Linked DNA regions of Arabidopsis thaliana. The protein of the gene in region 2 binds, or shares a complex with, the protein of the main gene of each other region. Each region holds a gene or a part of one and is shown on either strand. Other genes may lie near its edges. A codon is read from its position in the direction of its gene.

The links.
Region 1: the proteins of AT1G79010 (region 2) and AT3G03100 are in contact, whole or in part, in a cryo-EM structure (PDB 8BEE), measured with the Arabidopsis thaliana proteins. Residues at the interface, in NP_178022.1 of Arabidopsis thaliana: Pro90 (codon at 3,144), Val92 (codon at 3,138), Thr93 (codon at 3,135), Ile94 (codon at 3,055), Asn95 (codon at 3,052), Tyr96 (codon at 3,049), Pro97 (codon at 3,046), Phe98 (codon at 3,043), Glu99 (codon at 3,040), Lys100 (codon at 3,037), Gly101 (codon at 3,034), Pro102 (codon at 3,031), Leu103 (codon at 3,028), Ser104 (codon at 3,025), Pro105 (codon at 3,022), Pro181 (codon at 2,466), Phe183 (codon at 2,460), Glu184 (codon at 2,457), Arg206 (codon at 2,312), Trp207 (codon at 2,309), Thr209 (codon at 2,303), Glu210 (codon at 2,300), Glu213 (codon at 2,291), Asn214 (codon at 2,288); in NP_566192.1 of Arabidopsis thaliana: Asn38 (codon at 2,666), Leu39 (codon at 2,663), Gln41 (codon at 1,880), Thr42 (codon at 1,877), Thr68 (codon at 1,799), Gln69 (codon at 1,796), Arg72 (codon at 1,508), His73 (codon at 1,505), Arg74 (codon at 1,502), Trp75 (codon at 1,499), Val76 (codon at 1,496), Glu77 (codon at 1,493), Tyr78 (codon at 1,490), Tyr84 (codon at 1,472), Ala86 (codon at 1,466), Ser87 (codon at 1,463), Ala91 (codon at 1,451), Glu92 (codon at 1,448), His94 (codon at 1,442), Gly95 (codon at 1,439), Leu97 (codon at 1,433), His98 (codon at 1,430), Phe99 (codon at 1,427), Ile100 (codon at 1,424), Thr101 (codon at 1,421), His103 (codon at 1,415), Leu108 (codon at 1,301).

What each region holds. Positions count from the first base shown.
Region 1 is NC_003074.8:704,422-709,547, forward strand, and holds AT3G03100 (NADH:ubiquinone oxidoreductase, 17.2kDa subunit), read right to left. Parts: upstream 3,277-5,126; 5' UTR 3,158-3,276; coding exon 3,066-3,157; intron 2,686-3,065; coding exon 2,659-2,685; intron 1,882-2,658; coding exon 1,790-1,881; coding exon of another isoform or gene 1,786-1,789; intron 1,511-1,785; coding exon 1,401-1,510; intron 1,302-1,400; coding exon 1,143-1,301; 3' UTR 960-1,142; downstream 1-959. Other genes in the region: VGT1 (vacuolar glucose transporter 1), read right to left, coding at 114-158; XPO1B (exportin 1B), read left to right, coding at 4,545-4,643, 4,955-5,071. UniProt on the Arabidopsis thaliana protein: Accessory subunit of the mitochondrial membrane respiratory chain NADH dehydrogenase (Complex I), that is believed not to be involved in catalysis. Complex I functions in the transfer of electrons from NADH to the respiratory chain.
Region 2 is NC_003070.9:29,722,880-29,728,604, forward strand, and holds AT1G79010 (Alpha-helical ferredoxin), read right to left. Parts: upstream 4,150-5,725; 5' UTR 4,055-4,149; coding exon 4,001-4,054; intron 3,607-4,000; coding exon 3,528-3,606; intron 3,400-3,527; coding exon 3,346-3,399; intron 3,225-3,345; coding exon 3,133-3,224; intron 3,056-3,132; coding exon 2,942-3,055; intron 2,696-2,941; coding exon 2,628-2,695; intron 2,546-2,627; coding exon 2,434-2,545; intron 2,355-2,433; coding exon 2,259-2,354; 3' UTR 1,917-2,258; downstream 1-1,916. Other genes in the region: HAC1 (histone acetyltransferase of the CBP family 1), read right to left, coding at 1-153, 238-499, 637-751, 912-1,105; AT1G79020 (Enhancer of polycomb-like transcription factor protein), read right to left, coding at 4,403-4,645, 4,732-4,983, 5,057-5,125, 5,212-5,262, 5,447-5,494, 5,588-5,668. UniProt on the Arabidopsis thaliana protein: Core subunit of the mitochondrial membrane respiratory chain NADH dehydrogenase (Complex I) that is believed to belong to the minimal assembly required for catalysis. Complex I functions in the transfer of electrons from NADH to the respiratory chain.

The sequences.
Region 1 (5,126 bases), on a different chromosome or scaffold from region 2:
AGTCTTCAAAGCCGACCGGGAGAAGAACCAACAAAAATCAGTACAATTTGCTATCGGAAACCTAAACCGAAAGAAGAATGGGGAAAAGAAGACGATAATGAGAAAAGCGAAACCTGTCCAACGGAAGAGATCGATTGGTTCTCGGGATCAAACCCCATGGCTACGGAAGCTTGGTATGGATCCCGTGACCGTGAGTGTGGTATGTTCAAGGAAACCCAGAAAAAAATATATCGTTCTGGGGTTGTACGAAATAGCTACTTCTCTGATTCGAGCTCAACGGAGCTTCGAATTTGCAGAGGAGAGAAACGTGAGGAAGGGAGACGACAAGTATGTATGCCAGGGTGATTATAGATGTTAACGGAACAGTGGACAAGCTTTAAATAGTCGGAGCTTAATTTCAAATTAAGATTCTGATTTTCAATTAAAAAAATAGGAAATTAGTCTTAATAGTGTGTTAGCATAAATAGAGAGAGTCAAACTGTGAAACCCTTTTTGTTTTTAAATTGTAAAACCAATTAAATGTTGATATTGGATGTTTCTGTTAATCAAAATTCCAGTTTCGTTTTTTTTTGTTTAGAAAGATTATAATTTTTTTTTATAACAAAGTTGACCATAAAAACGACAGAAGAAGGATAATTAAAAAACGTGGTGCTGATCTCGTTTAAATTTTTAATTACCATTAAAAACGTTTTGTTGCTGGCACTGCGTTCGATTTATCTGGTTATCATAATCCGTTTTGGGAAAAATCTCTCATTTAGATGTATTAATAGTATTAAGATTTTGTTGGAAGATTTTTTTTTTGTTTTTTGTTTTTAGATCATAAACTCTGTATTCAATTTTCTTTGAAGATTTTCGAAGAAAAAAAAAATCTTGAAAGATATTTTTCTCGATGAAGTTATTTGATTAATATATTTTTAAATACTTCTACTTATTAGAACTTTTCTACTTTCCTAGCCAGAGGTGAAGAAACAAGAAACTTAATAATCAGCAAATTATTACACAGTAACAATTACAATTCCAGATCCGAAACCCAATTGTCCAGCTTTAGATCCAAGACAGCTTTTATTAAAATGACACAGAAACAAAACAACAAATCACTCGAGAGAAAGTCTCGCAGAGCGTAAAACCAAAATATCATCTTCTTACTGAGTCTTGGTGGGTACCCATGATTGGTACCGAGTCCAGTTCTTTTGTCCCGGGTTCAAGGTATGTCCCTTCGAATGGTAGATGTATGCATCACCTTCTCCAGAGAAGTTCTCTTTATGCTCAAGCCCATACCTTTTTGGTTTCAAACTCAAGAGCTTGAAACAGAGACATTGGTATTTATTATCAAGTTACAAGGCAATATATTATCTATTGATTGAACGAGACAGCGAATTTGAAATGGCTCTTGGTTTTACCTCATCGCCAGTGTGATCAGTGATGAAATGAAGCCACCCGTGCCATTCAGCTGGTACTTGAGATGCGTTGTAACGATCCTTTGAAGCATACTCTACCCATCTGTGCCTACCTGTTCACAAAGTGATTGCTTGTTTCAATGTAAAAGCCTCTTGACTAAACATTCTATTAAGATACATGCAGTGAGCTAACAAATAACAAATGCTGAGTGAGTGGCTACAATTTCCATGACTGTACCACTCAGAATAAACAAACATTTGAAGTCAATATTAAAAGGGTTATTCCCTGAATATTTAGTAACAAATATCATGAATCCTACAGTGGCATCAATTTTTTTAGGTTAAAGCATGATTTTATATAGGTAAAACATGAAGTTAAAGGAACTACATACCGTATTGAGTATCGCCTAGCTTCTGGTAGTATTTGTTACCGAACTTGTCAACACCAACAAGTGTCGCTCCTATGTTATGTATTTTAGTTTGCCTTCATCAAATATAGAAATAAAACAGTATTGATCAGAAAATACGACTCAACAGCAAGCTACAATATAAAGAATGGGGAAACTATTAATAAGACACAATATTCAAGCATACTGTGTATATACTATGTGACCCATATATACATGCTTCCAACATCTCAATACACAACATAGAAGCAACACTAAGTATATGTTATATGTATATTACGCATAAAGAAATGATCTGAGGAAAAGGTTCTCTATATTCAGCCAAATGCACCAACTATCTAGAGCCTATGAGAACGACAAATCCAGCTTATAGACTTGGTGAAAGAGGCACATAAATTTTGACTCTTAAGATCTTTCAAGTTTCAAGACTACTTTGTAGGCCAATTTCATCACCATTAACAGGCCTCACCAATCTTTGAGCTCTTATTCCTCATCAACTTGAATAGCCTTATGGCATAATATTGTCAATTCCTTCAAACATGTAACTACACTATCTCTGGAATACCAACCATCATTTACTGTCACTGTTTCTTTACTGAACTCCAAAATCAACTAACATAACATCTATCAGCAGTCCAAGTCAAAGAATAGTAAGCTGTTCAAGAATTGGCGAGCTCTGTTCACAGTATAATGAATCTGACAAAATTATGTTCGCTCACACAACAACATACACATATAAGAATATGAAAATGAACTTGGTCTGTAAAGAACTCTTGAACAACCACTTGAATCATATTCGTAATCCACAAAGAAGTGAAACACTAAGCACTAATTATCAAAGATAAATTACTTACAAGAGGTTCCCATCTGGTAGGCATCTCCTGCAATGAAGAAAAAAAATTGAAAGAAGCAATTAGAGAAATTCCATAAACTAGTGATTACCTCGGAATACAAACAATAAGATCTTAGACTTATAAGCAACCAGAAACATTATGCCAATTTCAAGCATCACCATCACCGTTCAAAATTGATGTTCACCAAAAACAAAGTGTTTGATTTTCATTTCACATCAAGAAAATTTAACATTTGAGTGAAAAAAACCGAAGAATGATAACCATTCATTGCAAACAAACTTCAACAAACACCGAAAATTCTTGTAAATTTCTAGATTATTTGGGATCTAACTAATGAAATCGAGGGTATAATCCTGAAGAAATTAAGCAGAGGAAGAGAGATTGGAAAAGAGAGACAGAGAACTAACATGAAGCCTTCTTCTCGGATCATCCTCATGAAACCGCCGAGACCTTTCTCTCTAATCGCCTCCAACGCACTCTTCGCCACCGTCAAAGCCATCGTCTTCCGCTATCGCTCTCTCTCTCTCGGAATCGGGATTTGATTTCGTTGTCGAAATAACAAGGGACATGATGACGATTGCTAAACGCATCGTTTTGTATTTGTTGGGCTACGCTTTGTGTTTACCTGGGCCACTTGCTCGCTATGGCCTTCCCCATGATGATGTGGCAGAGAAGCATATGAATATACATTTTCTACTATGATTTGGTATATCAAGAAATACAAGATTTAAATCTGCTTTTCCCACTTTCCTCAAAGCATTAGATCATACATTCATAGGGTTGTAATTTTGATTTCTCAGTGAATAAGAAGAGATGATGTGTATTTATTCATAAGGAGTTGTTCAAAAATAAAAAAAGGAAATTCATTTTGTATATGTTATCAAAAAAAAGGAAATCACTACGCATTATAAAACCCAAAAAAAAAAAAAAAAAGGCCTTTTAAGTTTTAACACTACGCATTCCAATTTGCTATGCATTAGCTTCATAGCTAAATCTGTTTTTCCCACTTTCCTCAAAGCATTTGATGATCATAACATTAACAGTTCACTTCTCTTCCTCTCTTAGTAAATCCCATTAGCCATTTTACAAGCTAAGAGTACACAACGTATTATAATCATATCTTCACGAATGGTAAACTCGATTTCAATATAATGATAGATCTCCTATTGTTAAGGTTTTTCCAAGCTTACTCCTTAGCTTAGATTTCATGGGATCAAATGAATACTACTACTTAGTAAAGTTCCGTGTTCAAAAAAAGAAAGAAAGTAAAGTTAATATTTGGGGAAAATGCTATTAATTAATTAATGCAAACATAATAATATGACATAAATACATAAATCCAAAAAAAAAAAAAACACTCAATTTTATTTTATATAATAATATCATACAAAATCTAATAATGAACATCATTAAATAAAAATAATAAAGTTCTACAACTTAGTGATTGAATATAGCTTATTTAAAAATAAAACTTAATAATGTTTTTTTTTGTAAAACCTCAAAAAGTGTTGGAAATTTGATTAATCTATATGATTGCATTTCATTTTATAATAATCTTTCCTTAAAGTAAATCTTTGAATAAAATAAACAATCCTAGTAAATATTTGAGTAGCGTAGACTGTAGAGTATACAAATTCAAACCCTGAGGCGGTCAACGAAAAAAAAAGAAGAGAAAACAAAATTAGAAGTCAGGCCTTTTTCTCAGCGTCGCCTGCGTCAATCTTAAGCTGTCTTTCAAAAACCTCTCTCAATATTTAAACTGCCTCTCCTCCGTACCGCTCTACCCAAAAAAAAACTCTCTCCCTCTCTCTCGAACTTTGTCTCCCTCCATTGATTTCACTCTCGTATCGAGTCTCTTCTTCTAGAATTTGCGCATCCTCTCCGCCATGGCTGCCGAGAAGTTAAGAGACTTGAGTCAGCCGATTGACGTCGTTTTACTCGATGCCACTGTTGAGGCCTTTTACTCTACCGGATCTAAGGAAGAAGTGAGTCCCGTTGTTTATCATAATTTCTCTGAGAATTTTAACGATGAACGAGTATCGCCACCACATTAAGCGGTCTCTTATTCACTGTTAATGCGTTCTATCGATTTGGGGGTTAGGCGAGGGTTTAGTATTTGCGATACGAATTGGATGAGTTTTGCTTAATTCTTTTTCCTGGGTTAGAGATAGGTTTCGATTGTTTGTGGCTGTTCTTGTTATCTGGAAAAACACTAAACAATGTAATTTGTGTGTAAAAACGATGTTTGCATATGTGTGCTTTCAATGAGATAAGAATGTTTGAAAACACCTTGCAGAGAGCTTCTGCGGATAATATCTTGCGGGATTTGAAAGCTAATCCTGATACTTGGCTTCAAGTTGTTCACATTCTACAGAACACCAGTAGTACGCATACCAAATTTTTTGCCCTTCAGGTCAGTGTTTTAGTGTTCTCTTATACCTGCTCTTCTCTTTATTTAGCATTCCCGT
Region 2 (5,725 bases):
CATTATTGCTGTTGTTATTAGTACTACTGTTGACAAATCCAGGGGTAGGCATCATCTGGCCGGTATTTCTCTGGGAGCTCATGGATGACATGTTCCCTCCAGACCCAAGACCAAAGTTACTCGATGAATGTTGGTATCCATTAGACAGGTTACCTGCAAAGAGAAGTAAAGGTGTTCAGAAAAAATATGCGCAGAAAATTTTATGCCCATATTTTATATAAGTTGTAGTGAAAGAACCTCCAAGCATGCCACCAGAATTTAGCAGGTTTCCAGTGTTCATAGCACTAGTTGTGATGTTATTACTTCCAGCCATTGTAGCATCACCTGAGGAAGTAATCATCAAATTTGGATTCCCACCACTGTGTTGTAATCCTGGAGTGGGTATCATTGTTCCAACCGAAGAAGAATTAGCGTGTCGCTGATTGTAGTTATTTAACTGCCTGCCTTTGATTAGACTTGCCAGCCGAGGTTCAAGGGTTGACGGGTTCACGTAATCTTCCTGCGATTCAAAATGGAAGTGTAGCACGTTAACAAGAAATTTCAAGTTAGGACATTAGCCAACAAGCTGGATCTAGTGGCAAAATTTTAAATGCCAAATACGTGCCTATCCTTTCCTTAAGTATATTAAATAAATACCTTTGTGTTAGCAATTTTAAACAGCCCCTCCTCTAAGCGTCTAGCAACATCCATATATTTAGCCTTTGATGCTTCATCAGCTGGAGATGGTTGCTTTTGCTGTAAGATATTGAAACTGAAAAGAAAGAAGAGAAATACACGGATTTGATTGGCGATAAACTGGAGATATTGAATCCAATCCAAAATAAATAGCCGTATAACAAGAGCAAGGAAATATAACTGCAAAATGGTGGGAAGACACCAAAGTCAAAAGCTTGAGAAAAGCAAAGGCTTACATCCTGATTCGCATAGCCTGCCGAAGTTTCAAGATGTCATTGTCAACGGGAGAAACGCGTGAAGGTCCTAAACCAGCACCAGTAGCAGGAGCTGAACCACCACCAACTAAATTCTGCATTTGGGAGTTCCCATTTTGCTGGGACATAGTCCCTTGGTTTGAAACCTGCCCCGACATGTGAGCCTGAACATTCATAGCTACCTCTTCAGTCTCCGTCGCCTTGTCCTAGTTCTTCTGGTAATTAACAGTAACAAACACTGCATAACTTTCCTCTCCTCCAGAAGTCACAGTATCCAAATTTCATCTCCTGATTTAGCACCTTAGAGAATGTCCTGCTAAAAAAACTTGGTGTAATCAGAGAACTGAAATTGTCACAATTTGATCTCATATTAATTGGGAGATAGTATCAATCATAGTATCAACTAAAGAAGTAATTAAACCCCAAAATAGTTACCAAAAATGAACAAAATGATAAACCCTAAAAATTCACCCCCAATCTTTGAATTGATACAAAAAGGAGTAAAATTTGGCAACAAAGTGGAGAAATTTGACGGAGACCAACCGGTTGCTACAGATTGTACGATGATTGGAGTCTGCACAATGAAACAAAGCCGGTGAACAGCCGATGCGGCACGTGTGAACTCAAACCAAAAGCGAGGTCAGAAATTAGGATCAAGCAGTAGACAAATCCCAGAAAGAAGATGGCAAATCAAAAGCGAATGAATTCAGGTTTTCCCAAATCGGGGGATGTTCTGGGCTTGTAGGTTCGTCGAATTTGGGATTTTTCTTTGGACTCGCTCGATTTGGGGATTTTGTTTTTTTTTTTCTTTCCTTTCTAGGGATTCGTTGTTTTTCTAAAATAGTAACTCAACAAAAAATACACATTAAAATATTAATTTTGCTGTCTGAATACGATAATTGGCGCAACCAAAAGGCAAATAAATGAAAAAATCGACAAGCATTATGTTTAGATCGGACAGATTAGGATAAACTATAAGCATATGATCCTGTCCGTCCGCCGTAAAAAAAAAAAAGACATGATCTTGTCCGTCCGATCAAATATTTCTTAATGTACAGATATACCCTTGTAGCTTAAGACTTATCTGTTTTCAGTCTTTGACCAAATTAAATGCTCTTTCTCCGAACCGAAAACACCTAATAACCGGAACTCATGAACCGAAAATCAAAGTCAGGTTGGTTACAAACAATTCAATTACACAGCACAAAATCTGGATTACAAAAGAGTTTTCACACGCATATGATCTCGTCTTTATTTTCAAACAGAAGCAACGAAAATGTTTCCCCGGGAAAAACAAGTTGAATGAAGCAGAGACTGTTGTAGAATGGTTCAGCGGTAGAGACTCTCCGACCTCAGATTCTCAGCAATCTCTGTCTCCCATCGATCTCCATTCTCAAGAAGCTTCTCTTTGTCATAGAGAAGTTCCTATCATAGAGAATATAACAAAAATTTCAATAAGCATGCCTCGAAAATTATTAGGGTCTAGAAAATGTGAAAAACAGACCTCGTGTGTCTCGGTTGCGAATTCAAAGTTAGGTCCTTCAACGATTGCATCAACGGGGCAAGCTTCTTGGCAGAAACCACAGTAGATGCATTTTGTCATGTCGATATCGTACCTGTACGATACAGCTCAAATCATCATGAAAGGGTAATAAAGAAAGCAGATGGTTGATAAATGAGAACTAAAGGGATGATGACCTAGTGGTTCTGCGGCTTCCATCTTCCCTCTCTTCTGCCTCTATTGTGATTGCTTGAGCTGGACATACCTGATGAAAAGGACAAGTATCCCTCACAAGAATTACAATCCGTGGTGAACTTTTATACACACTAAATAGATCATTGTCAGCTAATATGACCATTTCATCAGAACTCTAGAGACTAAACAGTAAATATTACTCATACTCAAATAGCTTTCCTAATTACTAAGATGAATTTGATAGACTCAGAGTACCATATCAGAACAAAGAGAACGTTAAATTAAATGAAGGATTCATATCGATCTCAAAACTCACAGCTTCACAGAGTTTGCAGGCAATGCAGCGTTCTTCCCCGGTAGGATATCTTCGAAGAGCATGTTCACCACGGAAGCGAGGGCTCAGAGGACCCTTCTCAAATGGATAATTGATCTGCATACACGAAAGAGCTTCAGTAACACAGATTTCTTTCAATCTAAGTTTGGAAGACTAGAAAAGATATCACTCACAGTAACTTTTGGATCAAAGAAGTACTTGAGGGTCAGCGACAAACCGCGGACCATTTCTGTGAGGAACAGGGTGTTTATGCTCCGTTCAAAGACTACAAATTTGAGAATATCAGGAATCACTAATACTCGGGGAGGAAAACACCAAGGAAGATAGACGTACAAGAAAAGAAGAAAGGAGAAAAAAAGTAAAATTGTCTAGATCATATGGATTACCAGTATTCCAGTCCTTGGAGATTTCCTTAGAAAGTTGCTCTGCTTCTTCATCATCTGAATATTACATACGCAAACCATAAGTCATATATGAATCAGAATCTCGTAATACAAGTTGGAAAAGGGGTAGATTCACAATTAAACCTGATTTACCAAAGAAAACCAAACAAGAGCAGAAAATATACCTTTGTTGCTGCCATAAGATATACCACGGGACTGCAGTCTAGACAGATGAGATCCCTGTAAAGCTTGCCCTGACAAAACCTATCAATGTCGAGAAGTAATCAGAGAGGTATTCAGAACATACACACCATATCAAGCTAATGAAAGGATTAAAGCTCGCAAAAAAAAACAAAAAAAAATTGACTTGCGAAAAGGCTTTCGTCACAAAAATTAAATGCGAAAAAGAATAAGGAAACCATAAGTAAAACGAAAGCCCTTAAGATGAACCATGATCAAATTCAAATCTCCCTACATGATTTCATCGATCAGCTAGATAAAATCCAGAATCTCGTCGACACAAAACAAAACACAGAGAGTGAATAGAATCATCTTAAGCTCCCAAAACTCCAGGAGACATTCCCATTTCTAGGCATTCAAATAACTCTAACTAAAGGACACAAAATGAAGAAATAACAAGAGCGAACAAGATTCATACGAGATGTCGAGCACGGAGAGTATTCAGTGACCTGCGAGCCAAAATCGAAGCCATTGATGGAGCACCCAAATTCCGATTTAGGTTCCTTCCTTCTTCACTGCGATTGATGAGCAAACCTGAACTTCCGATTAAAATCAATAAAGAGCCCTAAAATCCTATTTTGTCCTTTGAGTTGAAGATATTATTACAATTTGGTCCCTGGTACAATAGTTTTTGGTTTTCCAAACCGCCGATAGAACCGGATTTTGAATTAAACAGATTCTTTCCTTAACCGAAAATAAACAGAAATACACACAATAACCAGTTAGTTACAAAGTGCTAAAACTTATTTAGCTGAGAATCGTTATTGCATACACCATTGGTGATGGAAAATTCTTTACAAAGCAAGATTGTGAAAATATCTCAATCGAAGTTGGTAGACCGGTGATTTGGAGCAATGTAATAAGAGTTTCCACAATTAATGTGAGATTGCATCAACGGATTCCATCTATCGAAAATAATTCGGCCACCACGCCCAATCCTCCCCTGAAACCGACTTGGAGGTTGACCTGGTGATGAATCCGGTGTTGGAGGAACAATCCCTGCAGCTGCCAGTTTATCGGGAACCAGCGGTTTTGTGAATAGCATTACCGGTTCATTAGGATCCTAAGGAACAAAATCATTACAGGTTTGCTTAAATGATTGATTATAGTAGCTAGAGAGAGCTTAGGTGTTGTAAGAGAAGGTTTTACCAGTCTGTGAAGCCATCCATGCTGTGACTGTCGTCTTCTAACTTCTTGTTTGATGCCTCCGGGATGAGATGCATTCAGATTTAAGTTGGTGAAACGAGAACTAGGAATAACCGCAGGTCTTGTACGTACACGAGTACTGGTGTGATCATCAGAGTCCATCAGTTCATCATCGCTTGAGCCAAATTTGTATGATGTTGTAGTGGGTTGAAATCCAGGCATAGCCAAGCTATCTTCCAAGAGCTCTGTTTCATGCTGCAAAAAAAAAAACAATTTTAGACCCGGAAAACGGAAAACAGAGAGTTTTAGAGGAAGTAGAAGTAAGTACCCTGTATTGGAGTTGGATTCTCTGAAGGCTAACCTCACTGTCCATGACATCCCTCTTCTTCTCTTCTCTCTACGGAATGGGTAACATCAAATTAGCAACTTTGGAGAATGCAATCCGCTTGTTAAGATAAACACTAAAACTGTCATATAGAACACCTTAATGAGAGCCTCCAGAATGCTCTGTGCTTGGCCTAGATTGCGTCTAACCTGATAATAACATATCCCATGTATTCAGAATCCAATAGAAAACCATAAAAGAATCACTAACAGATCATTAACAAGCAGAAAAAACAATGTTGTCCAGAGAGAAACTAAAAGAAGGCACTGTAAACGTAAATTGCTCAGATTTCAGGAAATTAAAGAACCATAAAGGTTCAGGTGCCTCACTCACCTGTCGAAGCTTTTCAAATGACTGCACATTGTTTTCTCTCCTCTGCATCTGAAGATGAAGTAAAGCCTTATCACTATTTTTCTTTCTCCAGTTGGATTTTAATAGAAAAAATGTCGCACATGCATAAAAAAGACAGCCTACCCTTCTTGTGTGGAGTCTGTGAACTTTCTCCCTTGGCCTAAACACATTATAGGGATTGGTGTCATTAACCGGTGGGGGAGGCTGTTCCAAACAATGAAGCAAAACATTAACTAAATAATCGAGGTAAGATGCCTTTCC